Oreochromis niloticus: one gene and its partners. The protein of the gene in region 1 interacts with the protein of each later gene in a pairwise test. Links are inferred from orthologs where the notes say so. Each region holds a gene or a part of one and is shown in the gene's direction. Other genes may lie near its edges.

Region 1 (7,244 bases):
AATCCATCGTGCAGAGTTACATTAAATTAAATGAGAGAAATTTTTGTGTTATGCTGATTTTGCACATTACCTCAATTTTCCCTTCTCTTGTCATAACTCTCCAGACTCTAAAGAACACTTGGTTGGCACATTACGCCACTGACTCAGCCAACCCTGGAGTGCTGGTGTTGCTGGGCTGTGGGACCATCTCTAGTACCTGTGGCCAGCTGGCAAGCTATCCACTCGCACTTGTGCGCACTCGGATGCAAGCACAAGGTAAACACAGCCTGATATTTGAAAACAGTAATGACATAACTAGGTAGCCCCTTCGTTACATAATAATAGCATAATATTTTTCAAGGTGGGCGGGATGCATGTGATGGTGTAAAGGTTCTGTAAATGTGATCCATGTTTTCTGTAAATATATACTTGTGTTACAGCCCACGTAATGTCAAGGGGCTCCATCTGAAAAAGGGCATTCCTCTTTAACGTTGTTCACTTTGAGATGAAAGTTGTTTTTTGAATGTAACATTTAGACAGGGTCATGGTCTCACAAACTGACAAATCAGTGTTATATGAGTAAAGAGACTAATAGACAAAAATGTTGGCTGTTATGGACCACTACATTCATTGGCCACTTTATTAGTTACATATTGCTATTATCAGGTTGGATTCTTCTTGGCATAGATTCAGCAAGGTGCTGGAAAAATTCCTCAGAGACAATCCTTGGTTCATACTGGCATCCACGATGTGACTCTCCACTTAGATTGAGATCTGGTGATTGTGGAGGCCATTTGAGGAACAGTGAACTCATTGTCATGTTCAAAATCTCAGTTTGAGATGGTCTGAGTTTTGTGATAATGGGGTTTTATCCTGTTGGAATTAACCATCAGAAGATGGTACACTATGGTCATAAAGGGATGGACATGATTAGCAACAATACTAAGGTAGGCTTTTGTGCCTAAACAATGCTCAATTGGTACTAAAGGACCCCACGTGTGCTAAAAAAAAGTATCTCTTCTACCATTACACTACCAGCAGCCTGAACTGTTTGATACAAGACAGGATGGATCCATGCTTACATGTTATCTAACATCAACAAGGCATTTTCACCAAGAGAACTGGCACTCACTGGATGTTTTCGCTTTTTCAGACTATTCTCTGAAAATCTATTCTAACCCTAGAGATGACTGTGTGGGAAAATTCCAGCAGATCAATAGTTTCTGAAATGCTCAGACCAGCCTGTCTGACAAAAACAACCATCCACGATCAAAGTCACTTAAACGATTCTCAGTTTGAACTGACCATGACTACACGTCTAAATACGTTGAGTTGCTGTTATGTGACTGGCTGATTACATATTTGCATTAAGTCAGTTGAGCAGATGTACCTAACAAAGTGGCCAGTGAGTTTATTTTTTGCTTTTTAATTGGTTCTCTAACATAGCTTATATTTCTTTACAGCATCTCTGGAACCATCAAACCAGCCTTCTATGAGTTCTCTGATGAAGAAGATTGTAGCCAAAGATGGTGTTTTTGGACTCTACCGGGGCATCCTGCCGAACTTCATGAAAGTCATTCCTGCAGTCAGCATTAGCTACGTCGTTTATGAGTATATGAAGAGTGGCTTAGGGATCTCCAAATGATACTGCAAAAAAAAAAGAAAAAGTTTACTTTATATGTCAGACTTGAAAATGCCTGAAATAACTCCAAAAAGACAGATGGCGATCAACCATACAGTGCATGTTTTAAGAGCCGTCTGCCAGTAGTTAATTAATAATTTGTGGTATGCATGGTCAAATTTTTTTTTCTTACTGTAAAACATACCATTCTTCCTGCATTTACTTGCGTTATTTACACACAAAAAGACAGTTCTGGAAAAACACTAAAACGTGTTAAGTGTAATGGCTCGTTTCATTTATGCCACGGATATTCCTTTAAACTGTGATGAAACAAATACGTGACATAGCGTTGTGCGTTTCCTTTGTTTGAAAGATGACGCTATGTCAGCTGAACTTTTCACATGTCTATGCACTGTATACATGATTTTGTAAACACCTGCCCTAAGTGACAGCGGTTCCAAACAAACCATTCTCCAATCAGCAGCTGTCCACTAAAAATAGCTGGCTTGGACAAACGAATACTTGTTAACACTGGAACAGTGTGTGAATGAAGACACACATCTTGTGCAATGTGAAAACCACTGATCTCTCTGTTTGATAACGATTGAAATGTGCCTTATCTGGGTGTAAATCTGATGATAACATCAGAAGATGTGTTTTATAACTATACATATTACTGTATATATGTTTCCAGTTATGCTTATTTATGGGATTCAACGATGAAAAATACTTGCAAGAAGCATGTGTTTGTCATGTTTCAATCCTCATTTCAACCTAGTACATACGCACAACACATTCCTGCTACAGTTAACATTCATTCATTTGTTTCATTCTCTTTCACACAGCCAAGTGGATGGAGTTTAGATGTAGCATGCATGATAACAATCTTCTGTGTTTAGTTTATGTGGCATTTTCTGAGCTTGAAACTAGTCTTGATTTATTAGCTGGTGAAACTTGGTCCTTCCAGGGAGGCTTGAATGCTGATATTGCCTCCTCAGTAATGTAAGGATCACTGGTTGGAAAATCGGTCTGATGTGTTGAAATCTTTGCCAAGTGGTCAATAAAGACAAAACCTGTGGATTTGTTTCCACACAGAACTTAAACTTTGTGTTGGTGTCAGTAAGGATATTGAACTTCCATCCGGTTAGCATCTATGAAGAAGGAGATGAAACGGAAATACAAAAACTGAAAACATTTTTGCATCAGCTTTGTATTTTTGATTGAAATTTCTGTGTGCATTTTTTTCTATAACAAATTAAATCCTCCAAAATTAGGAGGGAAGGGAAAACATGTTTACAGTTGAATTTTGGATTCTTGCTAATCCACACAGCTTTAAAAATATGCATACAAGCCTGAAGATGTACATGTACTCACTTAAATCTTTAATAAGTGATGCTGAAGGTTCTACAATGACGTTGAACTTGGCATGGTCAAAACCTGTTAAGTTCTTGTTAGTGATCATGATTAACTACAACTGGTAAAAAGGATTTGTTTTTCAACACTCACTGGATTGATCAATACTCTGATCAATACTCTGAACAACGGGAACGTTTAAAGAACTCAGGAAAGAGCTTAGAAGGAGAATTGTAGATTTACACAAGTTGGAAAGGTCTCTTGGAACCACGTCTAAACAGCTGCAGATTTCTAAACAATTGCAGGTCCAGATATCTGGTTCCTTGTACAAGTTGTTTGGATGTGTCATCCATTTGCCAAAGTTTAGAAGAAGACCCAAATTGTCACTGTCAGATGAGAGGAAAATGGTTAGGATGTTCAGGAACCACCAAGGCTCAATCCTGCCACGAACTTAAACTCCTGGAACACAGTCATGTCCACATTGAAGTGAGTTTACATCACCAAGGACTGAGAGAAGCCCCTGCTCCATAATCCATATTTTCAAGCTCAAATGAAACTGCCCACATGGACAAGTTAAATGCCTGCTGGAGAAAAAAAATCTCTCATTTGTGACATTTTTGACAACACCTGTATATACAGTGATTAGCCACAACATTAAAACCTAGTGAGCAGGCTTCCCTAATGCCAACAAAACAGCTCTGACCATCAACATATCCCCAAGTAAACAACTTGGGGATATGTTAATACCCCAGGATTTTTGGAAGCTGGGTCCTCAGGGGGTATAGACATACTATACAAACCACATTTATTATTAAACGTTTGATAGTAGGCATCATAAATAATAATAAAAGTAATAATAATAATAAAACAATTTAAAAAAAAACATTCCTTTGAAAAGATTGGACTGAAAATAAGTGAAAAAGCATGTCAAAAAAAATTAAACTGAAACATCTTCAGAAAACCTGGGGAACTGCTGCTGAAGAACACTGTAAAAAATTACTATAAAGTCTGGCTCCTTGGAAGGGAAATATAAATAGGTGAGAGATGATTTGCACAATGCTGTATATTCACTGGGATCACATTACATGCTTATTACTTACTATGTTTATTTAACTATGCAGTCAGTCGTAAAATACTATTTATTTTACTTTAGTTCCTTGCGGGTGTCTCTTAACCTTCTTTATTTTGTGGCCAGGCTGTTTTTGTGACAGATGTTTCCTTGCTGGTGACCGCGACCTTCAGCCTTTTTTTTTCGCTTATTTGAACAGTTTTTGTCTTAACCGGTTTCCGTAGTCGGGGCAGCACTGAGCTCTCTGCAGTTGTTGTGGAGAGGTGGGCCCGCCCTCTGCTAAAACACAAACTGAAGTCAGTGTGCAGATAGGTGGAGGGTGTCGGTGAGTTTTTCCTGTCTGTCAAAACCTAATGGTGAAAAACTAGTGTTTGTTGCGGCGCAGGTAAACAGAGCAAACAGCTTGGTCGTTTGTTTGTAGACAGTGACAGCTAGCAGTTAGCTAACTTTAACTCCCAACAGCGGCTAAAAATATTCTCCTGCGAAGTGACCTGAGGTGGACACAGCTGAACAGCTGGTGGGGAAACTACGGTAGGTTTCAGTCAGCAAGCTGTACGAGTACTCATGATTAATTACTAATGGCAAAATTGTGTATCTATGTATGTGTGTATGTTATTTTAAGGTCTGTAGTTAAAACTTGTTGATTTGGCGCTAGCTTAGCTAGTGGGCGTTAACTAACGGAGACTTTCTTACTACGTTATGTCTGAAAGCATGATTGTATTTACGTTAAGCGGTTTTTGATTCAAGTCCAGACACACGGCCAGAAGGCAGTCCCTGTTTCACCTGTCTGGCTTTATCCGTCTACCGACCGGTAAGCCAGTTAGCCCTACTGGAAAGGCGTTTAGCTTTTTTGCCTGAGTCAGGCTGCTGCTCATCGTGTTACGATGGTGTTTGTCATGCTAAACAAATAGTTTCATATAACAGGTTCAGTTTGTATTTAAACATATATCACAAGAGCTTGTGGTCAGCCTCAGCTTCTTTCTGTGATGTATTGTCTTGTTGGATAAATGGAGTTCGACTATGGTGTGTATTCAAGACATCTTCATTGTCATATCCTGTTTTTAATGTGTTGTCAGTAGCATCTAGAGGTTTGTATTGATGCAGATCTCTTAAATTTTATATATAGATAGATAGATAGATATAGATACATATATACATATGTGTGTGTGTGTGTGTGTATAGTATGTATATATATGTATATAGATATAGATATATATATATATATATATATATATATATATATATATATATATTCAGCCTTTTTTCCATATATATATATACATATATATATAAAATGAAAAGTTTCTAAGACATTAAAAACTGGATTAAAAAAATATATATATATTTTTCTACTGACTGATTGTAATAACACAAAAAAGCTCATAACAAATATAAAAAAGAAATACTGACCATCAGTAAAATGTTTAACATGGAATAAAATTAAAAATGAACTTAAAAAATAACAATACTAAGCTGTAAAATGATAGATTAAAAGGTTTTAGTTACATTTTTAGTCAAATTTTAAAAAGAGAAAGTACCGTCACTTTTTAGCTGTTTGTTGAACAGCTAAAAATGAAGAACCAGAAAACCTGGGGGGGTCTTCGTGCTTCATAAACAAACTTTCATCCTTATCAGATGTATAAAATTTATAATGGGGAAAAAACAGGAGATTACCACGAACTATTAAGATGTCTAGTGCTGATCTGATGCCTACAGTCTGTTTGTCTCTTCAAGTCTTTTTCTTGCTTCTGAAAGATCTTGCTTTATGCTTAAACACATAATGGATTGTCCTTTATTTCCAGTGGCACTGCAAAAAAGTGAAGCACCATGGGCAACACAAGTGACAGAGTGGCCGGAGATCGACATGGCGCCAAGGCCCATCGCACAGACAGCGGCAGCGGTTCCAAAGACCAAGAACCCAGCAGCAAGATGGTGGACAGCACAGATGACCCCAACACCTTCAACACACATGGACCTGAATCGAAGGTACGCATAGATAAATACAGATTATAATATAGAAACAAATTTGTCGTCCTCAGATTTGAAAGCATTATTTGGTCAAAACAGCTTATATTTGAGATTCATATGTTTACTACTTTCAGGCATCAGGAGAGAAAGAATTCACCCCAGATTTGGATGATCTGGTTAAAACTGGTCCTCAGGCTCGCCCCACTGTGATCCGCTGGGCCGGAGGTGGGAAGGAGGTCTACATAGCTGGTTCTTTTAATAACTGGAACACAAAGATACCACTAAATAAAAGGTAAACAGGAAGTTGATAACGGTACGTTATCATGTTCATTATCTAGTAATGAACATAATGACCACAGTAAAGCTGTGGTCATTATGTAGCTTGAGAGTTTGTAAATAAATGTTTCTGATATCGCACTAATACATTCTCCTCCTCTCTCCTAAGCCATAATGATTTTGTGGCAATTCTGGACCTGCCCGAAGGAGAGCACCAGTACAAGTTTTTTGTAGATGGACAGTGGGTGCATGATCCATCAGAGGTACAGTAGCTTCATTTTTTTCCCCCATTAACTTATTAATGCACACTGCATTTGGGATGATGCAGAGACCTCTGATAGTACAAAAAGGAAGGGACACATTCCTTTGTGGAAATTTAGGATTTAAATTTCATCAATCTTATATTGTGTTATCCTCACAAAATGTGGACAGTGAAACCTCAGAGGGACTGTAAAGCTTTGAAAAGCCCTTCTATTTGGTGAAAGCCGCTAAATAGCTCTTTAGCCTTAGGGAAAGATGTGCAGGAAACTGCTAATTTTACACATGCTTCCTCATTTCCTCTGTGATGATTTCTCTCTCCTTTTTGGCAGCCGGTGGTAACCAGCCAGATGGGAACTATCAACAACTTGATCCATGTGAAAAAGTCTGACTTTGAGGTGTTTGACGCCCTTCAGGTCGACTCTTTGGAGTGCTCCGACACGTCAGGTCAGCCTGCTCTGTTATTGAGTTATTTAGTCAACTAAAGGTAATCACCTTGTGTAAATAGTAACTGGAAAGTGCCTTGTCATATTGCAGCATGCCTTTCCTGACCTTGCACTAACAGTCCCAGCAATTTATGTCTTAATACAGCTCCCAGGAAAGGAGTTGAATAATAAACGCCGAAATACATACAACAATAAAGAATACAGCTTTTTTATTGTTGTTGTTGTTAGTGGTTAATTGGTCAGTAGCTGCATAGAGTAAAGTATGTATGTGAAA
Region 2 (7,703 bases), on another chromosome or scaffold:
AAAAGCACAGTAACCTGTCTCTCACTGCACCTGCTCCCAAAAGTTTGACGGAAACTGTTTTGGATAACAGAGGAGATCCCCTCCATGCTGAAGCGCTGACAAGGAAGGAAGAAAAGCAAAGGAAAAAAAGATTACCAGAGAGAGCAGAAATACAGTAAATACAGCAGACACTAGAAAAGAAAGACCACTCTTTCACTCTACCAACACCTCGGGACTGGTGATAAGTCCTTAAAACCTGGCTGTAAAGTTAAAGTACTCACCGATCCAAGTGTTTTCTCTGGAAGACCTTGCGATTTCCCAGCTCCACCTTTAAGCTTCTTCTTCTTCTTGAGCGCCTCGCGGTACTCCTTCTGCCGGTTCTGCACGTCGATGAGGGCTGAGATGAAACTGTTCTTCACCTCTTTCTCAAAGTCCAGCTCATCCCTAAGAGCCAGCTGCTGAACCAGCTCCTCTGAAAACCTCCTGATCTTCATTTCAGTCTCCTCCAGACACTCATTCAGCTCTGCAATGCTCAGGGCCTCCATCCCTGGACCACCAAAGCATATTCCCTTAAATTACTTACATAAAATGCAACAAAATAACCCATCATAACACACTGTTCTGATCAGCAGACACTCACTCTCCTCGTAGTCAGAGCAGCTGTTGGGCTGCTGGACGTCCACAGAGAGCATTGACAGGTCCGACTGTGATGGATTATGTTCTGCCTCCATGTCAGGAGAGTCCTGCATCATTTCCTCTATCTCCTCGATAACCTGCATAAAAGAGCCAGCTCTTAAAATAACCCATCGAGCACGAGTTATTAAACATCTGTGGAAAAGATTTCAGCCATGTTAAGCTCTGCCTATACAGGCTTGACCCAGTGTGGCTGCTTCTGGGGTGAACTATGCTGGATTCTGACAGGGTGTGTAACGTACCTGCTCTGCTGTGAAAAGGGGCTCCTCTGCGATGCAGGAGACAATGATGGAGTGCATGTCTAGCTGATCCCTGAGCTCCTCATCGTCTGACAGCTCCAACACAACATCTGCCTTTCTCTAACCAGGAACGGAGCAGGAGGAGGGAATTTAATCAAAGCACTAAACCCTGGCACAATGAATATTTGAGATTTGCGAGATGACCGGAGGAGGGATTTGGCATTGGAGGGAGGGGAGCCGGGTGGTGTGATGAAGGGAAAAATGAGACAGAGATAGGATGGGATGGGCCAGAAGAGGTGGAATCACTCACGGGTTTCTCCTCCAGGTTGATTGCGGGAACGTGGAGGGCGTGCGTTCGAGAACGTTTCCAGTCCACGGGCATCACATGTCCGTAGTTAGCCGTCAAAGTGTTCCAGATTCTGAGGGGACACGAGACTTTCATTACAAACCACATACTCTGCGGATTTCATTTGCAGCTGCCTGAACATGTTGCCAATGGGGTCTAAGCCTGGATCTGATGACTGTAAACATCTTAGGATCTGTGTTACAAACTAAGTATGTCAAGGTTGAAATCAATCAAAATAAACATATGAACTGCAAAAAGAATGAGGGTAATTATAATTTGAGAATAAAACTACATCTTCCTGAGGTACATATTAGGATCTGCTTCATCTTTTCTTTGCATTTTTAAAGATTATTTTCTCATTTTTAATCATTACCAACAATAGCAACAGTTCTCCTGTTTGCAGCACTTGAGATAATCACAGCATTCCTGGAATTCCCCTTTAGCGATATTTTTTTTTTTACTAAAAACAAACCTATGTTAGCAGCAAGGACGTTGGTACTGACTGCAGGCACCACAGAAATACTTTTTTAATGCCGCATCTAAAAACATAACAATCAGATTAAGCAGGTCTGATGCCAAGGTTAAAAGTATAATCCCCTACACAGCTTATCAGGTTGAAAATACCACAGATGATGACGTTTAAAAAGTGCCACTTACACCCAGAGCTGCAGCATCATGCCTCCTGATGGAGCACTTAAGTAGAGTTTCATGTTTCCTATTTAGGATTTATTGAGGATTTTTCCACCCCCTGACCTCCCATTTCTTTTCAGTTTAACACTTTAAGGCTCAGTTTCCCAGACATGGATTAAGTCTAGTGTGAAACTGAAAACGTTGATTTTTTTTTTCCCCTTTCAGTTTATGAATAGGTTGGGAAACTGGCTGTAAATGTTTTTGGAATGAACACTGGGGGGTTTAAAACAATCCCCAACTCCTAAGTGTGGTAAAAAGGAAAATGCCCAAGGTGACTTTTTAAATAACCAGCAGCCTACCCTAATATGAAATTATTATTATTAATGCATACCTGATAAATTACTTTAACCAACTTTAAATATAATATAGCAGTTATTTTGAAACAAATATATCTCTTGCAAAAAGCTGCAATGTTAAAAATATCACAAAAATGTTGATTTTAGAAATGAGTTAAAAATAAAACTGAGTATAGGCCAATATCGATCTTTAATATAGGGCACATAAGATTAATCTGAATTAAAGATTACTCCGTTTATCTTGACAACAGATGATATGACGATGCCATTACTTCCTATTTTAAATGTTCCCAACATGTCTTTCCGTGTTTTTTAAACTGTATTGGAGCCTCCACATGCGCACTGGATGGGAAACACGCAGCCTGCCGTAGACAGGCCGTGGACTCACTCGTCTTTCTCCAGCAGCGTGTCCTCGGCGATCACGGCCACGGGAGCGATGCTCTCCGTCTTGGCGTCAAAATTTTGGAAGCACGTGGTTAACTTCTCATCGAAATCGTTCACCAGATCCTCCATAGACCGGAACCCCGCGTTCTCTCTAGGGGAGAAGCTGCTGTCGTGCAGAACATCATCATCATCATCACCGCCAAACAGGAGCGACTGGGGCGCCGCTTCGCTCACGGCGGCGGCGGTGACACGGCCTTTCTGCGGCAGCAGCCCTTCCTCTGACACTATGCTCGGATCACCCAGGTTCGGCCAGTCGTCGTCGAAATGTGCTATAGGTGCAGCCATAGCCCGGACCGGCCTAGTCGCCCCGGGTGGATGATAGATGTGTTGTTGTTGTGGGACTGGCAGGCCTCCGCATCCTCCCTGTCTGCCCGCTCACTGCCCACAGCGAGCCTGCGCCGGGCCGACTAGCGGCGAGACGCGGAATATAAACAGGTCACGGTGACGTGGGGTCTGAACAACAACGTGATTGTTAAAAGCAATAAAAACGCATCATGATCATTTATCACTACTGACCCTATACAATGGCGAGTTTATACCCTTTTTGAGGTGGTGGTGGTGGTGTGTGTGTGTGTGTGTGCGTATTCAAGCTCCCCTGAAAAATGAGACTGTCTTCAAAAAGAAGATGAAGAGGTAATTTCGTGACACAGTTCAGTATTGAAGATTCAAAACACACATAAGTGCAAACTGTTCAGGGTCGTTGTTGTTACGTAAAGTGTGAAGATTATGTGTATTTACTCTGAATAGCACCAAAAACGTTAGCTAATGAAGTATAAATACCTTGTAACTGTACTTAAGTACAATTTTCAGGTGTCTGTACTTTGCTAGAGTAATTTTTTCTGACTACCTTTTACTTTTATTACATTTTTAAAAATGTTCTACTCCTTACATTTTTCGTTTAACGAAAAGTAAGTTGGGTATTATACAGTTGATATCCTGTTAGATTCTGCACAATAACACAATAACAGAAGGACTATGAATTAAAAAACTGTCATATAAAAGAAACTCTATTACGAGTTTCTATTTAATCCAGATGTATGGAGCGCCAGTGTGACGTTTTTAATTGCTTAATATACCATGGACAGCATTTATGTGGTTAAGAGACTGAAACAATGGTGTAAACAATACTGAAACAAACTTACTTCGGAGGATTCTGGTCAACATGATTAAGCCTTTGTCTCAGGTTTCATAATTAAAGTGTAAACTGGTGTATTAACCTGAAAACTGTGGTTATTAATTCTGAATTATTCTTAGACACTGAATTATTCTTAGGTTATACAAGTAATTAGATTGCTTATGAAGGTACTATTTTATTGTGTATCCAGTTGAATATGTGCTTTAAATATGACTAATAATGTGCATTAAAGGCACAGATGATCACTAAACCACTAATTATTTTCCACAGTAATTTGTTTGCACAACAAAACCTTTTATTTTGGAGATCTGTGATGTAAATGTGCCTGTCTCTAAAGGGCTTTGGACCAACTTCTGTACTATAGGTTATAAATAAAATAAATGTGGCAGTCAACAGAAAAAGTGTTTTTATTTTTTCTTTTCCCTCCACCCCAAAATTGAGTGGGCTCCATACTGAACTTAGAGGATAGGGCAAAAAAGTATCAATCTAATGCGCTAGTGTCGATCTGATACCAATACAAGCTTTGGTATCGATATTTTGATCAATCTGCCCACCAGGTAGTTATGGCAAAGATTAGTTGATGCCGTCATAATTTCTGCGTATCCATGGTTAACGGCATCTAAACAGTAAAGGCAAAGTTAGGAAACACCACTCATCAATGTTCGTTTATCTTAAATGAAAAAAAAAAAGGCTTTTTTGTTTTGTTTTTCTGTCTCATTAGTTTCCCAACATGACATCACCAGTGCTTACATTTCATAATGCATCTTATAATGATGAATAAAACATTAAATATTTATGACTTCTCACATAAAACCCCCCCCCAAAAAACTAATCACTTAGTTTGGAAATGAAATGATCATTTCTTTATTTGTATTTCATTTTTAGAACGTTTATAATGTAAACGTCTACATTTTATAATTTTTTTCTTATGAAACAGAGGTAGTAGAATTTTAAAGTAAGGACAGAAAGAGCGACCTCCTCTGGGTGAAACAGACACTTCTGCAGATTTCACTTAGTACGTTACATTGTTGCTACTGGAAACGGACTCCACACAAACTGAGAAAACACCGGAAATCCCTCTGAACCTCTGTTATAGTTCATTCTCTGAACAGAAAGAAGTCCAAAGAAGAAATAAGTGTGGGATATTCAGGCTTTGGATTTAAAATGAGCTCTCCTTTGTCGATGCTAAAGAAAACCAAACGCACTCCTCTGCAGGGCGCTCACAAAGAGCAAGGGTAGGTGATTAACTCCACACAGGTAGAAACTGGACTGTAGTTTTATTGTGAAAAATAAACGTATCAATCATGTCGCCACACTTAATTTTCTTCGACCTGCAGGAGCAAATCAAAAGTTCCTTTAAGGAGGAATCTGCTGAAAGGTAACGATGCACTCACAGACCACCAGCAGCACTGCAAATTCAGTAAAGTACAAATACAGAATAAATAAATACATCCCAGCTAGAACTAGAACTACTTTTCTTTTAAACCCCTTAAATTAAAGCTGAAAGTCTACACTTTAGTCACACCGTGATTAAAAGTGTGTGGAGATCTAACAGTATTCATGTGTCCACAACATAAATAACTTAAACTGTGATGAGCAAAATGCAGCACATCCTCACATTTGACGAGTTCCAAATAATAATAATTGTATCTTATTGGAGAAACTGATCACAAGTTTCTCAGGTAACTTTTTCAGTTGAAAAAATAACAAAACAACTTTTATAACCATGATAGTTTTTGTTTTTAGAATTTGAGGCTGAATTGGCCGATGAGTCTTCTGATTACTCTCACACTCCACCCAACGAAGCCTCCACCTCAAATACGGGAGCTCCATTAAAGAAAGGTAGGCATTAACACAATGCTTCCCATTCCAGTGTCGAATATATCTTTTTTTATTTATCACATACAAAATGATTATACGTTTTATTTTTCTAATACTTAACTGCTGGTTTTCAGGGTGTCCTCCGACCAACTTTGACCTCATGTCTGCCATGGTGCAGCGAGTGACCCTCCTGGAGAAAACAGTGAGGAGCCAGGCAAAGGAGATAGAGCGCAAAGTGAGCATGCAACCACTTCAACGAATACCAAAACTGCCAGCCATCTTTAAACATGTTTAAACCTCACTTTATGGTTTCGTCATTCCTCCCAAGGATAAACAGATTTCAGATTTAGAGGAGAAGCTGAGGGCTCAGGAGAAGTCAGGTAATTATCTACAGCAGGCACAGACTTGAGTTCGATTTATGTTTGGTCGATCAAAGCGATTTCATGATTGTGTGGATTTAGGAAGCATGCATGACCCGAGGAGCAGAGATGATCTCGAAAGCCGGTGCCAACAACTGCAAAATCAAGTGCATGAGATGGAGGTGAGTAAGGTGTGTCCATAAAGTATGAGACTGTGATTCTATCAGTGTGGAGGTTTCACTGAGCTGCTGTCGTTGTTGCAGGACTTTCTGAACGATTATGGTTTGATCTGGGTGGGAGATACAGACACTGGTGATCCTGCAGAGCGAGGTAGATCCACCAGTCCCGCAGACCTGCAATCCCTTCGTGTCTTTTGTATCTTAAAGCTGTGCTGTTTTTGTTTTGTTTTGTTCTCTTCTTCAGAGACTTCTGGTAGCAGAGGCTTCCACATAAACTTTGATCTCGTGCTGCAGAGGATCAGAGAACTGAACGTCCTCGCAGGGGAAGGAGAGTCTTTTGTGCAAATGACAGCGACAGGAGCACAGCTGGCTAAAAAGGATCCCATTCCACTGAGGCTCTACAGGAATGGCATTGTAATGTTTGATGGTCCTTTCCGCTCATATCAGGAGCACAGCACCCAGGTTAGCTACACTGAAAATAGGAAAATCAAAGTCTATATTAAACTGGAATCTTTCCTTGGTTAAAAGTCATCAACTCTTGGTCCCTGCAGCAGTGCATGCAAGATCTAATGGATGGCTATTTTCCATCTGAGCTTCAAGAAAGATTTCCAGATGGTGTACCTTTTGAGGTGAGTCTCAGTTTCTTCTTCTTATTTTGTTTTTGGGAACAATTGAGTGTCTTCACAGAAATTCTCTTTGCAGCTTCATGACAGGCGTTACGAGGAATTCAACTCTAGGCTCCCATGGGAAACGTTTCCTGGTGAAGGACAGCCTGTTTGTGGGGACAAAGATGAATCAGCAAGCGCGCTGAGCTCTCACTTACCCGGTCTGTCTGCAAACGTCACCCTGATCAAAGCCACGGTGCAGATCCTCAGAGACTTTGCTGTCATTCTCATGTTTTCTTCTGATTCAAAGGCAAGAAGATGACCACGGATCAGTTCCTGAACAAGCTGCCGAAGTTGGTGGTGAAGGCCGGCCGAGTGATTGATATCAGGAACTCGCTGAGGGCAAAGCTGCAGGTGAGTCATAGAGAAGCAGCAATGATCTGTTTGTACAGATATACAGATGAGGACAAAATTACCAGCCACCCTAAGAAGTTTAAAAGCTTTGTCAACATTTTCTTGAGTGCTTTTTTAAACAGAGCAAGGAATTTTTAACATAACATTTGTAAACATTGTATTTTTCTTTACAAAGCATCAATTATTATTACTATTTCAGATTACCAGGATTAGTATTATTAGTTCCCTGAAAAACCATAGCAGGCACTACTGCTGTGCAATGATGTGCTTTAACGTTGTAATGCTCGAAGCTAAGAAGTTAAAACTGAGAGTTAGCTTCCAATAAAAACTCCAATAAAAACTTCAAGGGTTTGAGCTGTCACCCGAGAAAGCATGCTACCAAAGATAAAAGAAATCCGTTTAGACTTACTCGAGTCGTGAATTATAGTCTCAAAGAAGATAATCACCAGATTACCATCCTGCACAGGAATGGACTACAAAGCTGCAGACCAAGAAAAACTCCA
Region 3 (7,381 bases), on another chromosome or scaffold:
ACCCAACCCTTACAGCTAACAGGAGCGTTTCTCTTTCATTTCAGTGCAGCAGGCCAACAGTGAAAGTGAAAGTGTGCAGTATGTCCTCAAGTTTTTAAACTACAACCTGCATCCAGCAGTACCACAGTGAACCTGCTAGTTTTCCATCAGGTTACTGGTTCTGTCACTAGTTTGACTTACATTAGATTATGTTAGCTGTTAGCTGAAACCCACCCAGTGAGTGTCACATTCTGACCTGGCGCTTAGAGCCAGCCTCGCCGACGTGGTTCCATCTGTGACAGTTTTTTGTTGCACAGCTCGACGGTGTAAATGAGTCTAATACGTTTTTAGGCTAACGTGATTATGATTAATAAACAGCGTATGCCCTGTTTATGGTCCAACAGCACCGACGTTTGTTTCTCATGAATGAAATCCTGTTATTGTTAATCTGCATGTTCGCATTGAATCATTACACCCGTATCAGTGAGCCGGTTACAGCTCAGAGGCCAGCTTTGTTACTCCGGGTAAAACTTCCAACACACAGCCTCCTGTAACAGCAGTCATTCAGCGGAGTGTGCGTTTAAAGGCAGAAACGATAATCACGGAAACAAACGTAGGTTAACGCGGACCTTACGCAATATGCTACGACCACTACACAAAACGAAAGTAGCATTTAGTGTGTGTCGCCTTCAGGCCGCATTACTGGAAGTGTAACGCTGCGCTGTAGTTCACCCACACCCACTTCCTAATGGCGAACTTCAAAGTCTGATTAAGTTGAAGTGTAGCTAGCTGAGATCTGGGGATAGCAACTTAGCTGATTAGCAAACGTCTTATGCCGTGGAAATTGACACGATCTTGGGCTGCCCACTGCCGGATTGACTCCCTCTGTCACACAACTCAAGTGTTTCCGACGTTCAAACTGTAGATAAGAGACTTGAATGAGGTTTTTGGCAGCCCCGGGCAGGATCCCTGTAGATCCTCCGGCCTGATTTGCGACTGCTTAGTTGCCTAACGTTAATATTTGGTCGGCTAGGTGGTCAATGCTGACCTCTTGTTTCTGTTGAGCCTACAGCTACAGCTGGACACTGACGGTCACTTAGTGCAAATATACTCTGTAACGTGAACACGAGCCAAAGGACGGACGCGTGCACTAACCGTCAATACGTCCTTAAACATTAGAAACGATCAAAAAGAACGGCAACGACAGATTTACCTTGGCCAGCCTCCTGCTCGCCGCCATCTTGAAACTACTGTGTGTTCCCAGAATTCACTGCGCTGGGAATATGGGTCTGTTCCTGCGCTGAGGCTGATCAGGTTGGACATCCGCCTGTTTGTGAACATCCCGACGTGTCCACGACAGGAAGCGATGTGTTTAAATGCGGAATATCTGTAATTATATACGTTACAAACATGTTGGGCTGTGAGCCGGAGCCGCAGGAGGAGACCTGAACTCAGCTGTGTCCGCTTCACACGAGTTTTATTTTTTATTATTAATGCAGGTGTTCGCATGTGGACACCTGAAAACGCACCATGAGTTACACCTGTATGAGTCTGCTTGTTTAACCCTCAGCTCTGCTGTCAGTCTGTTGTAAATGGCTCATTCAACAGTCATGTGGATGGCAGAGAGCAAAAAGGTTTTCCATGTGCTTGCGTAATACTTTCAACAATAAAGTTTTATTTGAGTTCATGTTTCTACTTTAATATCATGTGTAAATTCATGTCCTCCCTGCACTTTCATTCTAAAGCGTGCCTCCACCTGCTCCATATGAACATCTGTGAATCTGTCCATCAGCACTGCAAACAAGTAGGAGCTCAGAGCACGTTTCTGATTTGGCCCCCCACTCTGAGCCCTCTGTCACTCCCACTGCACACATGGATGTGCTGCACCACCCTGCTGTAGAATGACCATCGTCTCTCTCAGTACAGGATGATGTAGCTCTGCAGGTCATCCTTGTACCTGAAAATTGAAAAGCAGTAGTCCACCTTCAGTTTGAATATTCAGACTGCATCGTCGCGCCTTATTTATAAACATATGTAGACTGTGTTATTAGAAATTATTAATTAACTTTAGTCTGATGGCATTTTGCTAGTTACCAGCTGAGCAGCTGATGTACTTTATTATCTGAGTTTGTTAAAGTTTTCTAATCAGATCACAGCTCTGGATCCTGGTGGCATTGAGTCTGTCAATATGCCTGTAAATGGATATAGATGGATTTATGCTGTTTATGTGGTTGTAAATTCTGTTTCACTGTTACACTTTGCTGTGACAGCACTGAGAGAGCAGGACAGAGAGGGTGAGAAAGAGACAGAGCGAAAAACAGGGCAAGATCTGACACGTAGTGAAAAATAATACACACCAGGGAAGCTTCTGTTTCACTGATGATGATTTTATAGAACTGATCAGTGTGTGTGGACCACAAACCTGCTCTTATAGAAAGTATTATAGATTATGTTGATCGTCTGCAGTGCCACAGCGTGTGGAGTGACAATGGTGACCCAAACACAGACGACCAGACGCAAAACTAGATTTTGACAAATGTATGTCATTCATTATGGCCGATAACAAAACATTAACCAAAAAAGAAACTCCTTTCTTTCCCTAAAACTACAGACATGAAACCTGGAACAGTCAGAAATACCTGGACACTTGCATCAACACAGGACTGAGGACGGCAGGAAGAAGAAGGTCTGCAAATGTGCACGTTAGGAGGAAAATCATCAAGGATTTCTTCGTTATTTGGTCAACAGATTGAAATGATGCTGTGATTCTCTTCTTACTGCTCTGCTGTAAGCCTACTGTGGAGAGTTCTGGTGAACACGACCGAGCTTTGGTTTGGTAACTAACGAGTCTTCACTCTGAATCATTCCTAACACTACATTAGGTCATACATGGCTTTTAAAAGTAACATTGTCATGTGTACCCAATGAGGTTTGCAAACATGAAACGTGTAAGCATATTCAGTATGTCTGACATTATGACTGTGGGAGAGTCCTCTTACAAGTAGACATGACCCCGCATGTTAAACAGTAAGGTTGAGAAGTCCACTGCTCCCTCTCAGACATCTCCATACCTCCACAGGTGTGTCACCTGGACCAGCTGCCTTTCCACTCCTCATCCTCTTCATAGCTGCCCTTCCCTCCTCCTTCCTAAGTCACTTCCTGACTCACTCACTGTCCTCCATCTGTGCTCCTCGATCTCTCATTTTCTGCACACTCCCATCACCTGTTAGCACATCTCCATTCCTGTCCCTAATTATCTCCAGCTGCTGCAAATCCTTTTCAGCTCCATCTGTCAGCGTGTAGCCACTCGGCACTGTTCTTTCCCTCCTTCTTCACATACAGCTCACTATAAGGCTTTTCCTTTGCCTGTCTTTCCTGTTCGCCTAGTTTCCCAGTACTCCTGACTGTTTTTTGCACCTCCTGTCCCACTTTTATTTGCCAATCTCTTTGGTAATCTCTTCCTTTTAATATTTTCTGCACTTCCTCATCCCTCCACCAAGTCTCTGCCTCTTTCCTCTGGAGGATACACCCATCACCTTCATGACAGGTTCCTTCAGCCTATAGCTGTACTGTCCCAGTCATGTTTGCTGCCACTCGGAGCCTGTCTCAGCTCTGCCCTGAAATCTGTGCAGCATCTTCATTTCCTACCATTGCATCTGTCTGTGAAGGTTCTCAGTCATCCAGGTCATCGTAGTCTAAGGAGCTTGGAAAGAAAAGCGTCTGGACTTCTTTGAGTTGCTTGAAGACGTTTCACCTCTCAGCTTCTTCACACCTTGGCTCAGGTGATTAGAGGATCATCAGGGGGGTCCTTTGTCCCTCTTTGGGGGGAAACTCCCACTGGGTTTAAATCTGGGACTCTCGGCCATTGACCCTTAGAACTGAAGAAGCTTCTCGGGTGAGAGGTGAAACGTCTTCAAGCAACTTAAAGAAGTCCAGACGCTTTTCTTTCCAAGCTCCTTAGACTACCATTGCATCCTTGCTTCTGCCTTCACTTGATTTCTTGATTTCTAAAGTCGTCCTCCAGCCTACCATCCAATGCTGCTCCAGCTGTCACTCTACGCCCCGCCCTTGAAACACGCCCACAACACAAAATCACGGCCTAAAGATCCGAAACTGATAAAAAAAAAGAAGAAAAATTAAAGTTGTAAAAAAACAACAACACAAAACAGATTCGCACGAAAACAGATAATTTATTCAAAATAATTCATCTGTTTGTTTGTTTTTTGTTTTACTTTTTAAATATCAAAAACAGATGGAAATCACTTTTCCAGATGAATAAAGCTTTGGATCCCAATTTAGCTCCATAGCAATGCGCCACATTTGACACGGCAGCAGTACCCACACAGGCTGTACCCACGGCAGGCTGTACCCAGTCTGTCCCAGGGGCCCACAGTGGGACCCATATGAGCTCTGTGGTACATCCTGCTTCGGTGGCCTTAAAGAGCTCTGTCTCACTCTCTTAATCTATATAAATTAGCGAGGATTTGACACGTGCTGTGGGACCATTTCCTAACACATGTTAAACAACAGCAGTTTTCAGACTCGCGTGGTTGTCGTGACACGGCTTCACTGTGAGTTTCCTTGTAGCTGCTGTAAAGTGAACCGCACTGTAGCTTCACCTGGAAGTGATCACACTGACCGGAACAACAAGATGGCGAGGACTGTGGTGTTTCGGGTAGGCGAAAACAAAACACAACCTGTCACTCGTGTTGACGTTGAAGCTTGTAACGAAGAAAACAGCTGATGTGTGTTTGGGTGAGCGATGGGCGAGGTGGGCGCCCACAGGCAGGGATGAGCGTAGTCACGGGGATCGTGGACGTTTCACTATGTAGCCCTGATGCTAACACAGGCTAGCCAGTCACTGCTAGCTCCCAACAAACAGCTGTTATTATAACTGAATGCCTCTAAAGTCCGCACACGGTCTTAATGCACGTACGTGTTGTATGTGGCAGACATCATGAGTGTGAGGTATGGTGTAATAAACATAATAAATAGTTTCTGTGGGAAACTTAAACCAAACTGCTAATCGAAAAAACTACATGCACCCGATTAGCCAAAAGTTATCGCGAGGCTGTGAGTTAAACACGATGTATACAAACATGTTAAAACATCCGTTTTTTTATTTTATTAGTAACGAGATTACAGAAACTCTGTTTTCATGTCGTGTTAAATATTCCTGACCCAGCGCTCAGCCACCGCGTCTGTATGTGATCATCACACTGTCGTGGGTTCACTCACCGTGGACGTGACACTGAAACAAGATCCCAGATCAGATAAAGGACAAAGGAAAAACTAAGATGGACACTTGGCCGTGCTGTGTTGTTGTGTATCATGTGTGTATGTTGTGTTGTAGAATCAGTTGTGTTTGTTTTCTCCGTCTGTGACTTTCATTCAGAGCGACAAACATTTAAACGTGTCTGGTTTTTAAAAGTTCAAATGGATTCATTAAAAACACAATGAAATACACGATTGAAGTACTTTTGTTTCGCTCTAGTTTTCAGTTCAAACATATAACAAATCCACATTGTAATAATAAACTTTGACATTTGTCATCTTGCAAATTAAATCCTCAAAGTTAAACTTCATCAAATCCGTTTAATTCAGTCAGATAGTTTGAGTTTTGTCAAACACACCAACACTGTATCTGTCATAAATGTTGCCATCAGAGTTAGTCTGTGACTATATGAGGTCAAGTTTGAAATTATTCCTGATGATACAGCAGCTGTGATAAATCACTATAACATGTTGTTGTCACGTAGAGACAAATTCATATGAAGATATTACTGCTTATTACTGCTGTGAAGCCTTCTTATAACCAGAGCAGCTGGCAGCCTGCTCAGTCGAATCCCTTTGAGTTGTCCTTGTTGATAAAGACTCATTCTTTGGAAATCTGCCTGCATTTATAAATTAGACCTTTAACCTTTAACAACCTGTTTGAGTGACACAGTCAGTCTAAGCAGGTGTGTCCACAAAGGTTGCCTCAGGTGAGATGGGCCCGCTCATTTAGTAGTCAAAGTCAGCTTTATTGTCAAAGATCATATGTACAGTTGTACACAGGAATTTGGAATTGCAGTGCTCCCATGGCCCCCAGTGTACACTAAACATACAAAGATAGAAAAGGAAATAAAAACAAAATAAAATAAAATAAAAAATCTTATGTACAACACAATACAATACTACACAATTATTTAAACAGCGGTGTCCCACACAATCATAGTGATTGTGGGCAAGTTCGTGTGCAGTGGGAGTGGGGCAGTCAATGAAAGGGTGATGGTGGTGGGTCAGAGTTTGTGTGTTTGGGGGGGGGGGGGGGGGCTCAGAGGGAAGAGGTGGATGCAGGTCTGGAGATCATGTGTGAGAGCAGGGAGTGAATTCAGCATCCTATTGACCTGTGGCCTGTCTGTATCGATGGAGTTAGTGTTGCCACACAAAATATCACGTGACCTTACTTTAAAAGAAAAAAAAAGGCTGGTAGGGTATTGTTGTCATCCCATCGGGTGGGCGGGACACCAAAGTGTGTGAATGGAAGACCTACAGAATGAAGCGACGTAGCATTTTCATTTTGTACCATAAGTGTATCTACTCAACATCTTGTAATGAGTTCCGACCTCGGTGACCTCGACCTAAAGGTCAGAGTACGTTATCTGGGACTCTTGGGAATGTGATAACTTGAGGACGAGGTGATGTAGGATGTTTTAAAGTTGATACCATAGATTTGAGGGGAGACACTGATGGATTCCAGTAGATTTTGTAAGAATGTGTTTTAAACGGGAGACTAGATGAAGGATGATCAGCATGTTTAACAAACAGAAAAAAGACAATTACTGTGTGGATGTCACCTGCCTCTAGGGATGGGAAACGAGGATTCCTTGGAATCGTTAGTCTGTCTGCCTATAGATCCCAGTTATCAGTTCTTGCACCCTCGCTACGATCAGCTGATTTCAGTTTGTGTGTTGGAGGAGGAACACAGCAGCACAGTCTGCAGCGCGGACATGACTTTTATTTTTGTTGCACAAAAGGATGAGAGCATAAAGTGGAGACTGCTCCAGGACAGAATCACACTGTTAACACAACTTCAGCTCTTTGCAAACAACTGATGAGCAGTCAGGCTGCAGGTTTCTACCTGATCATGTTTCTGCAGTAGAATCACTTTGAAGTGTCTTTGTGCTGGTTTCCTCTTTGACTTGTGCTCATACATAAACACTCAGAGAAAGATCACGTGTGTCCTCATCAGGATAGGACCTGTGTTGGTGTGTGGGGCTGTAGCCTCAGCTTATATTGTTAAACTGTGATTATGAGACAGTGTTCAGATCATTTTACAGAGTAACATGAAAGTAATGTTATGAGTAGTATATATGAGATTTGTTATATCCTGATCAGCTCCCGTCCCTCTGCTGTGGGA
Region 4 (7,140 bases), on another chromosome or scaffold:
GCAGAATGGCAGATAGAGACAAAATACTGTTACTGTTAATCTGACTATCTTCAGGTTTTACACGCTTACATACACACGCAGTTACTGTCCCTCCATTTAGAAAGGCCGAGGCTCACGGTGTGATTATTTTACGTGTAGTTGTTTTTTTTCCTGTGTAATAATATTCAACATTGCTATCAATAAATTTTTCAAAAAATGCCTCTCTGTGCAAAATGGGTTCAAAAACAAAAACAGCTGTGGGATATTGTTTGTCCGTGATTTGAACCGGGGGAACAAATTACGGCAGGATCAGCCTGATATTATTTGTATCCCACTGTAACTTTACTGCATAAAGAGCTAACATGTCCAAAATGTCAGGAGTAGTTAGTTATTACAAGAAGTGTTTGTGAACTAAAAATCAAGAATGTGGGATACTGTTTGTCCGTGATTTGGAGAGCCCAGCTCGTGCTCCCGACACAGGGAAACTAATTTTGCAGGGGAGACCTACCTTGGCACTTGTGAAGCCAAAGGGAAGATATGCTTCACCATATTTTCTAGTCTTTGGCTTGGAAGGAAGTTGGTTTGGAAACATATTTGGCGATGCTTCATCTCCTGCTTTGCGTTCGGAGCCCCGTCAAAAACCTGTCCACAGTGTCCAAGGACTCTTTTTTTTTTTTTTTTCTCTTTTCATACCGCCCCCCGCAATGGCTCTGCGCCCCCCCTAGGGGGCGGGCCCCACACTTTGGGAACCTCTGTTCTAGAGCTTGCTGGATTAGAGGTATTTTGAAAGGTTAAACCTCAACAGCTGGGGCTCTGAAATGCCTACACCCAACAGATATCTCCACCAAGGATTACTCTGAAAACAAGAGTAACAAGAGGCCAAAAAAGAATAAAGGGAAAAAATGACACAGCTGGGAAGACACTTGTCTTTTCTAAGAAAGATGGGTGAGTGTCTCCACATTTAATGAATCAAATCAAATCAAAATTTATTTATATAGCACATATTAAAACAACAGTGTTGACCATAGTGCTTCACAGTCAGTAAAAGCATGAGACAATTAAAACAAACAATAAAACAGGACAACAAACAATAGGTAACAACACAACAAGGTAGAACAGCCAACTAGTTAGAATCAAAAGCCAAAGTAAAAAGATAAGTTTTAAGACGTGATTTAAAAGACTGGATAGACTCGGCAGTACGAATATGAACAGGGAGGTTATCCCACAGTCTAGGTGGCACAGTTGCAAAGGCCCGGTCACCTCTCGACTTCATTCGAGACCTAGGTTGTGCTAGGAACCTGTGATTGGACGATCTAAGTGCTCTGTTGGGATTGTATAAGTGGAGTAGATCAGAAAGATAGCTGGGCGCTAAATTATTCCGAATTTTAAAAGTAAACAAAAGAATTTTAAAATCTATGCGATATTTAACAGGGAGCCAATGTAATTTGGCTAAAATTGGAGTTATGCGTTCATAGATTCTCGTACCTGTTAAAAGACGCGCAGCTGCATTTTGAATTAACTGAAGCCGGTAAAGAGAAGAGTGTTGGAGGCCCGAGTAGAGGGAGTTACAGTAGTCCAATCTGGATGTGATAAATGCGTAGATAAGCTTTTCAAGGTCCTTTAAAGGAAGGAAGGGCTTTGCTTTAGATATCTGACGCAACTGGCAAAAGCTGTTTTTTACCACAGTGGAGACCTGTTTCTCAAGTTTAAAAGAGCCATCCAGGAACACTCCAAGGTTTCTTACGGTGAGCGAGAGATGGCTAGCGAGAGGGCCTAGGGCATCAGCTAACTGGTCTAGCGGAGTGTGACTACCAAAGACTATGATTTCGGTCTTATTCTCATTCAATGTAAGAAAATTATGTGATAACCAAATTTTAACTTCATGCAAACAGTTGAATAGAGGTTGCAAAGAAGCAGACACATCGGATTTCAAAGGTGAATAAATCTGGATATCATCAGCATAACAGTGAAAGGAGATGTTGTATTTTCTAAAGATTAATCCCAACGGCAACATGTACAAAGAGAAAAGAGCAGGACCGAGCACGGACCCTTGAGGCACACCACAATAAATAGGGGCAGAAGCCAAGGAGTGTTGCCCCATAGCAACAGAGAACGACCTCTCTGAGAGGTAGGATTTAAACCAAGTTAAAACCGTACCTTTGAGACCAACAACATGTTCCAATCTTGATAGAAGAATGTTGTGGTTAACCATGTCAAAAGCAGCAGTCAATGAAGGCTAAACAATGAACATTCTGGCAGCAACACTCATAATAGTAATCACTGGAGACAACAGCAACACAAAGAAGTACTTGCTCATACAGTAAATCTGTTTCCTGTTCTCTTTCTGACCCTCTGAAATGTTGTCATTCTCTAAATCAGGGGTGGGCACCGAGGGCCGGTGTCCCTGCAGGTTTTACATTTGTCCTTGAACCAACACAGCTGATTTAAATGGCTAAATTATCTTCTCCAGAGGCCTGGTAACGAACTAATCATGTGATTCAGGTGTGTTGACCCAAGGTGAGATCTAAAACCTGCAGGGACACCGGCCCTCGGGGCCTGGAATTGCCCACCCCTGCTCTAAATGGACTAGGACATGAAGAGGAAAATCAAGGAGGCCCAAACAATGAATAAAACAAGGGATTATATTCATAAAATAACTCTGAAATAAACCAAAAAAACAAACAGTAGACATTTAACAATAAAATAAGAAAAAGGAAGGGAAATGAGTAAACCATGTATAGTGCATACTGTTTTCAACAGAAAACACCAGAAAGCAACTCAAACATCCCCATACGCTACCAAAATATCCTCTCTGCTTTTTGCACTCCAAGTTCTGATTAGACGAGTGACAGTAGGTTAACCTTACACAGCAGTATGAAAGATCTAATATTTTTCATCGTGACTACTGGAAACTGACACCTCTTCCTAGGCATATGAATCTAAACTTACCAGGTTGAATGAGGAAAGTCTTTTTTAGACATATCAGAGGAGATGTATGGCAGGAAATTCTCCCATGGTAGCACACTGGTGTGCATATAAGAATATGTTATTTTTAATATATTTTAGGCCGACATGAATTCCAGTCAGGCACAGCCCTTCTGCATTACAATTAGTACTACGAACTGAACCTGAGTCCTTTTAAATAATGCTATCTAGCTCTACCTATACAGCTCTTAATAATGAACAGTGCAACCACTTGTGGAGAGTTAATAGACACTTAATTTAGTGAGTGTAATAACATACTATCTGCTGCATTTTCTTATTCTTTTATTACCCAGTGGAACACAAAGATGCCTAAAAACAGTGTGTCAAATCCCTGCCTAGCTGAAAGATGGACTGAGCCTGCCAGTGGCTCCACCTGCTGGTCATTTGCTGCTTTTACTTGTAGCACTCATCACCTCTTCACCACAGCTGTTGTTTTCATTCCTTGAGAGAGTTACATTTTAATGCAAAGCAATATGCTCTATACTAGATATTGGCATATTCTATGATATTAATACATAAAATAAAATATATTATTTGTAATATATTAAGTTATTCTTCCTTATCCTGCAACATTTTGCATGTATTAATCTTCCTCTATTGTTAACGTGTTTATTTGATTATAATAAACTCCTCTATATGTTCACTGAAGACCAAACAAGTACATGTAAAACGCTTGATAAAAATACACTTGCGCTTCAGCTGACCTTGGATTTTGTAATGTTTCAGTTGAATTTCCTTTTTGGTTGTTGTATATTATCATTTTGCTAATTATCTGTCTCAGAAATAAACATCAGAGTCATTTACATTGTGAACAATAGTTAGTGGGCTGCTTAATATCTTGTGCCAAATCATCTACATAAGAGGGTAAATAATGTAGAGGAAAATAAACCCATTTGCTCCAATCACTGGGAAACAAAAATACTAAAATACAGTAATATATACTCTAAGGTATCTACGGATGCAAACAAAGGCTTGGATTAAATCAAGATAACAAACAACCCTGAGGAGTTGGATTACAATGAATGTAAGAAACGTTTACTGGACGGTTAAAAAATACAGGGTTAAACAAACATGTTATCCGTTTATGCAATCTCGCTGCTTGCCACAGAGGCTTTATTAAGATACTGTGCTTTGGCGCAGTTATTATCATGCGGTATTATGATGATGTCGAATAAACTGTACAATTTAATGGATGTCGGCTTTTTTCAGATTTAGATAAAACAGCTTGAAAAGAAGCAGTCGTGCAGTCTGTGACTGGCGTCTGCAGCGGTGACGAGCGGTCTCCTGCAGACTGAGCTCCCTTGAATGAGCGTTGAGGAAACCTCCGTGTGTGAAGCACACGAAGGCAAGGTCTCATCTCTCGCGAGGAACGACGCCATTATCGGAAACTCTACAAACAACACGAGAATTCACCATTCACACGGTAATATAACCCAATCTTACACGGTACATGTGTTGTGTGCGAGAATGAGAAGAGAAGCTGCATCAAAATCACAATTAATTTAACGGTTGCTTCAGCATTAAACGAATCTTGCATTACGCTTCAAAGGCCTACATGCCCAACTAGCATGCTAACTACCACGCTAGCTTAAATAGCGTCTCCTTTAAGTTAGCATGCAAGCTTTCAAATCCGATTTTGTAGCGGCAGCTAACATTAGCTGCTAGTTATGATTTTGGTGACGCTAATTAACTAGTGAAAAATAAATTAAATATCCGTAGTACAGTAGTTTTGCACCGCATGTCTAGTCGCATTACATAAATGCATAACAAATTGATGCTCCAAGTTTGTTTTCCTCCGTTTATTCGCCTGTATTTAGCATCGTCAGACCCCCGCCCAGTTAACTAACCAATCTAAAGCTCGTTAGTTGGGCTAGTAGACGTTTACCAGCTCCGTGCTTTTTCTTTATATTTGTAGCAAACTGTAGTAATCTAGGCTAAGCAGCTAAAGTCTAAAGAAAATGGTCTGAAACAGCTGTGTTTCCTTATAGCTAGCCACTATCACAGGTAACGGTTGCGCTTAAAAAAAAGCGCCAGGAGCTTTTGCAATTTCAGACCGTTTTACATAGGGCTTAATTTAGTTGGGCTACTCTAAAACTGATTATCGCTCATTTTATGTTGGGCATACCATTCAGATAAACCCCCTTATATAAATGGTATGTGTCTCCAGTAACAAAGTTTCCTTTGTGTAAGTTTAAGGACAAAGCACACATTTATTATTCGTTTTTTTATTTAAAGTAATGTCACAAACTATTACTCTTAAGCTGCCATCGATGCTTTTGTAAGCTACGTAGAGCCGAGCCCACATAAAATGTCGTACTTTGATTATTATTGTAATTTTTCCTCATGCATCTATGCTTTTTTGCCATGTTTGGAAAACGAGGAAATGAATCAGGAAGACAAAGCTGCAAGATTATGACTCTGGATATAATTTCTCATACACACAACATGATTGTTAGTTTATTCGTGGCTGTTATGAGGATATAAGCCTTGTATTTGCAATGGATGGGTCCTTCTCTCACACATTTTAATTGAGGTGCTGTGCATTTTTGGAGTAATAGATTTTTTTTTAAAAAGTTCCACAAGTGCGCTAAAAATGTGTTGGTGTTAGCATTTGTATTACTGCTGCAACATTTTCTTTCCAAAATGTGGACAAATCACTAAAGCAATTGTGCAGTTTTGACACAAAGAGTAGGGAAACTGAACTTAGGCAAATAAAGCAATGCAACAAATGAAAAGCAGCAGCTAAAATCTGGTGAATAATACAGAATTTTTTTCAATATTTGGCTATACATACAGGCTCAAAACAGGACAACTTAGTTCATGTATTCAAGTGGACTGATACAGGGATCAAAGGTTGCAAATACTCTACTGCAACTTGAAAAAGTAAATTAGTTTGGAGTGTGCAAGTGTTAGATCTTTATTGGGTGACTGAATTTGACAGTTTTGTGGCAGTTACTTTGTCAATTATTTGTTGTGTAAAGGTAGCTTATTAAAAGTGTAATCCTAACTTGGAGTATGTATAAGTATTAGGACCACATTAAGAAAAAATATATTCTCAATTGCTTTGAGATTAAAGTCAAAATACTATTGTAAGGAATTTTTTTTTTTTTTAAATGTGGCGATTACAGTTGTTGCTTCAAAACAAACCGCCACAGTTGCTATACCCTCTGAGTTAGTGAAATCGTACTTAAGAATCAGTTTTAGTAAGAAGGAAGGATATGATTTCTCATTTCCTGATAACTATAAGGTGATAAGTCGAAAAGATGATGCAGAAAGATGCATCTGGTCAGACAGAAAAAGACACAAACTAGGAAGAGTGGGTTTGTACAAAATTAAATGACTGGTAATGGACAGATGTAAGGTTATCAATGGTTTCACTCTTGTCCAATAAAGAGGGTGTATGTTGTATCACAGAAGGGCTGATTAATTTGTTTCACTAACTCATCTAAACAAGGGATTTTGTACAGGGTATAGAAAACATGGCAGTTTGTCTTGAAACAACAATGATAATCTCCACATTTCCACAACTTTATTATTAAAATGATCAACAGTACTGCTTTTCTGTTTTCTGCTAAAGCACGTTCTGGATGGATGCAAACTGCATTTTGTTGCCTTGTACTTGTGACATGTGCAATGACAATAAAGTTGAATTCAGTTCTATTCTATTGTTTTAATGTGTTGCTAATATTCTGTTGTAGTCACTGCCACTTTGCAGTGTTACTCAGGACACAGGCATTTAAGTAGAGATCTATCTTTTGTTATTCAGTCCAGAGTTGTACTTGGTTTAAGGATATGGAGTTGCTGTGTGAGGACAAGAAAAGATCAAACTTAACTAAACATTTCAAATGTTTGTACTGGAGGAGAGAACTTTTAAAGTTGTCCTATTAATAACAGAGTGGTTATCATAGCAGTATAGTTATTATATAAAGATACACTTGATGGAAGAGGACGTTTGAGATTACATAACAAAAATAAACTTTGGGGCGCACACAACACAAATACTGCTAAGGTCAATACTTTAATAACATTATAATAATTTTAACAGCACACACCCAAACGTACCCAGCCAAACATTTGAGCATAAATTGTAGAACATCAGATACAAACATAGTAGGTGTTATGAAAACTTCAAACTTCATGTAAAAGATAAATGTCACAAATGTCTTTTTCTGAAAT

Evidence for each region.
Region 2: the proteins of prkab2 (region 1) and ubxn11 interact in binary tests that used the Homo sapiens proteins (3 or more experiments, as listed by UniProt). The link is inferred for Oreochromis niloticus from reciprocal best matches to the Homo sapiens genes PRKAB2 and UBXN11.
Region 3: the proteins of prkab2 (region 1) and pias2 interact in binary tests that used the Homo sapiens proteins (3 or more experiments, as listed by UniProt). The link is inferred for Oreochromis niloticus from reciprocal best matches to the Homo sapiens genes PRKAB2 and PIAS2.
Region 4: the proteins of prkab2 (region 1) and banp interact in binary tests that used the Homo sapiens proteins (3 or more experiments, as listed by UniProt). The link is inferred for Oreochromis niloticus from reciprocal best matches to the Homo sapiens genes PRKAB2 and BANP.

What each region holds. Positions count from the first base shown.
Region 1 is NC_031982.2:13,490,082-13,497,325, reverse strand, and holds the start of prkab2 (5'-AMP-activated protein kinase subunit beta-2), read left to right. Parts: upstream 1-4,228; 5' UTR 4,229-4,347; exon of another isoform or gene 4,348-4,553; intron 4,554-5,824; 5' UTR 5,825-5,849; coding exon 5,850-6,008; intron 6,009-6,124; coding exon 6,125-6,282; intron 6,283-6,435; coding exon 6,436-6,529; intron 6,530-6,856; coding exon 6,857-6,971; intron 6,972-7,244. Other genes in the region: calcium-binding mitochondrial carrier protein SCaMC-1, read left to right, coding at 105-255, 1,443-1,624. UniProt on the Homo sapiens protein: Non-catalytic subunit of AMP-activated protein kinase (AMPK), an energy sensor protein kinase that plays a key role in regulating cellular energy metabolism.
Region 2 is NC_031976.2:7,542,472-7,550,174, reverse strand, and holds the start of ubxn11 (UBX domain-containing protein 11), read left to right. Parts: upstream 1-4,686; 5' UTR 4,687-4,986; coding exon 4,987-5,057; intron 5,058-5,159; coding exon 5,160-5,200; intron 5,201-5,568; coding exon 5,569-5,664; intron 5,665-5,777; coding exon 5,778-5,878; intron 5,879-5,971; coding exon 5,972-6,023; intron 6,024-6,104; coding exon 6,105-6,184; intron 6,185-6,265; coding exon 6,266-6,332; intron 6,333-6,425; coding exon 6,426-6,643; intron 6,644-6,732; coding exon 6,733-6,810; intron 6,811-6,883; coding exon 6,884-7,007; intron 7,008-7,096; coding exon 7,097-7,200; intron 7,201-7,666; coding exon of another isoform or gene 7,667-7,703. Other genes in the region: fez2a (fasciculation and elongation protein zeta-2), read right to left, coding at 15-95, 261-526, 620-752, 915-1,031, 1,222-1,330, 2,632-2,972. UniProt on the Homo sapiens protein: May be involved in the reorganization of actin cytoskeleton mediated by RND1, RND2 and RND3. Promotes RHOA activation mediated by GNA12 and GNA13.
Region 3 is NC_031977.2:829,207-836,587, forward strand, and holds the start of pias2 (E3 SUMO-protein ligase PIAS2), read left to right. Parts: upstream 1-4,371; 5' UTR 4,372-4,654; intron 4,655-7,381. Other genes in the region: ube2l3b (ubiquitin-conjugating enzyme E2 L3b), read right to left, coding at 1,193-1,219. UniProt on the Homo sapiens protein: Functions as an E3-type small ubiquitin-like modifier (SUMO) ligase, stabilizing the interaction between UBE2I and the substrate, and as a SUMO-tethering factor.
Region 4 is NC_031972.2:56,893,384-56,900,523, forward strand, and holds the start of banp (protein BANP), read left to right. Parts: upstream 1-4,118; 5' UTR 4,119-4,387; intron 4,388-7,140. UniProt on the Homo sapiens protein: Controls V(D)J recombination during T-cell development by repressing T-cell receptor (TCR) beta enhancer function. Binds to scaffold/matrix attachment region beta (S/MARbeta), an ATC-rich DNA sequence located upstream of the TCR beta enhancer.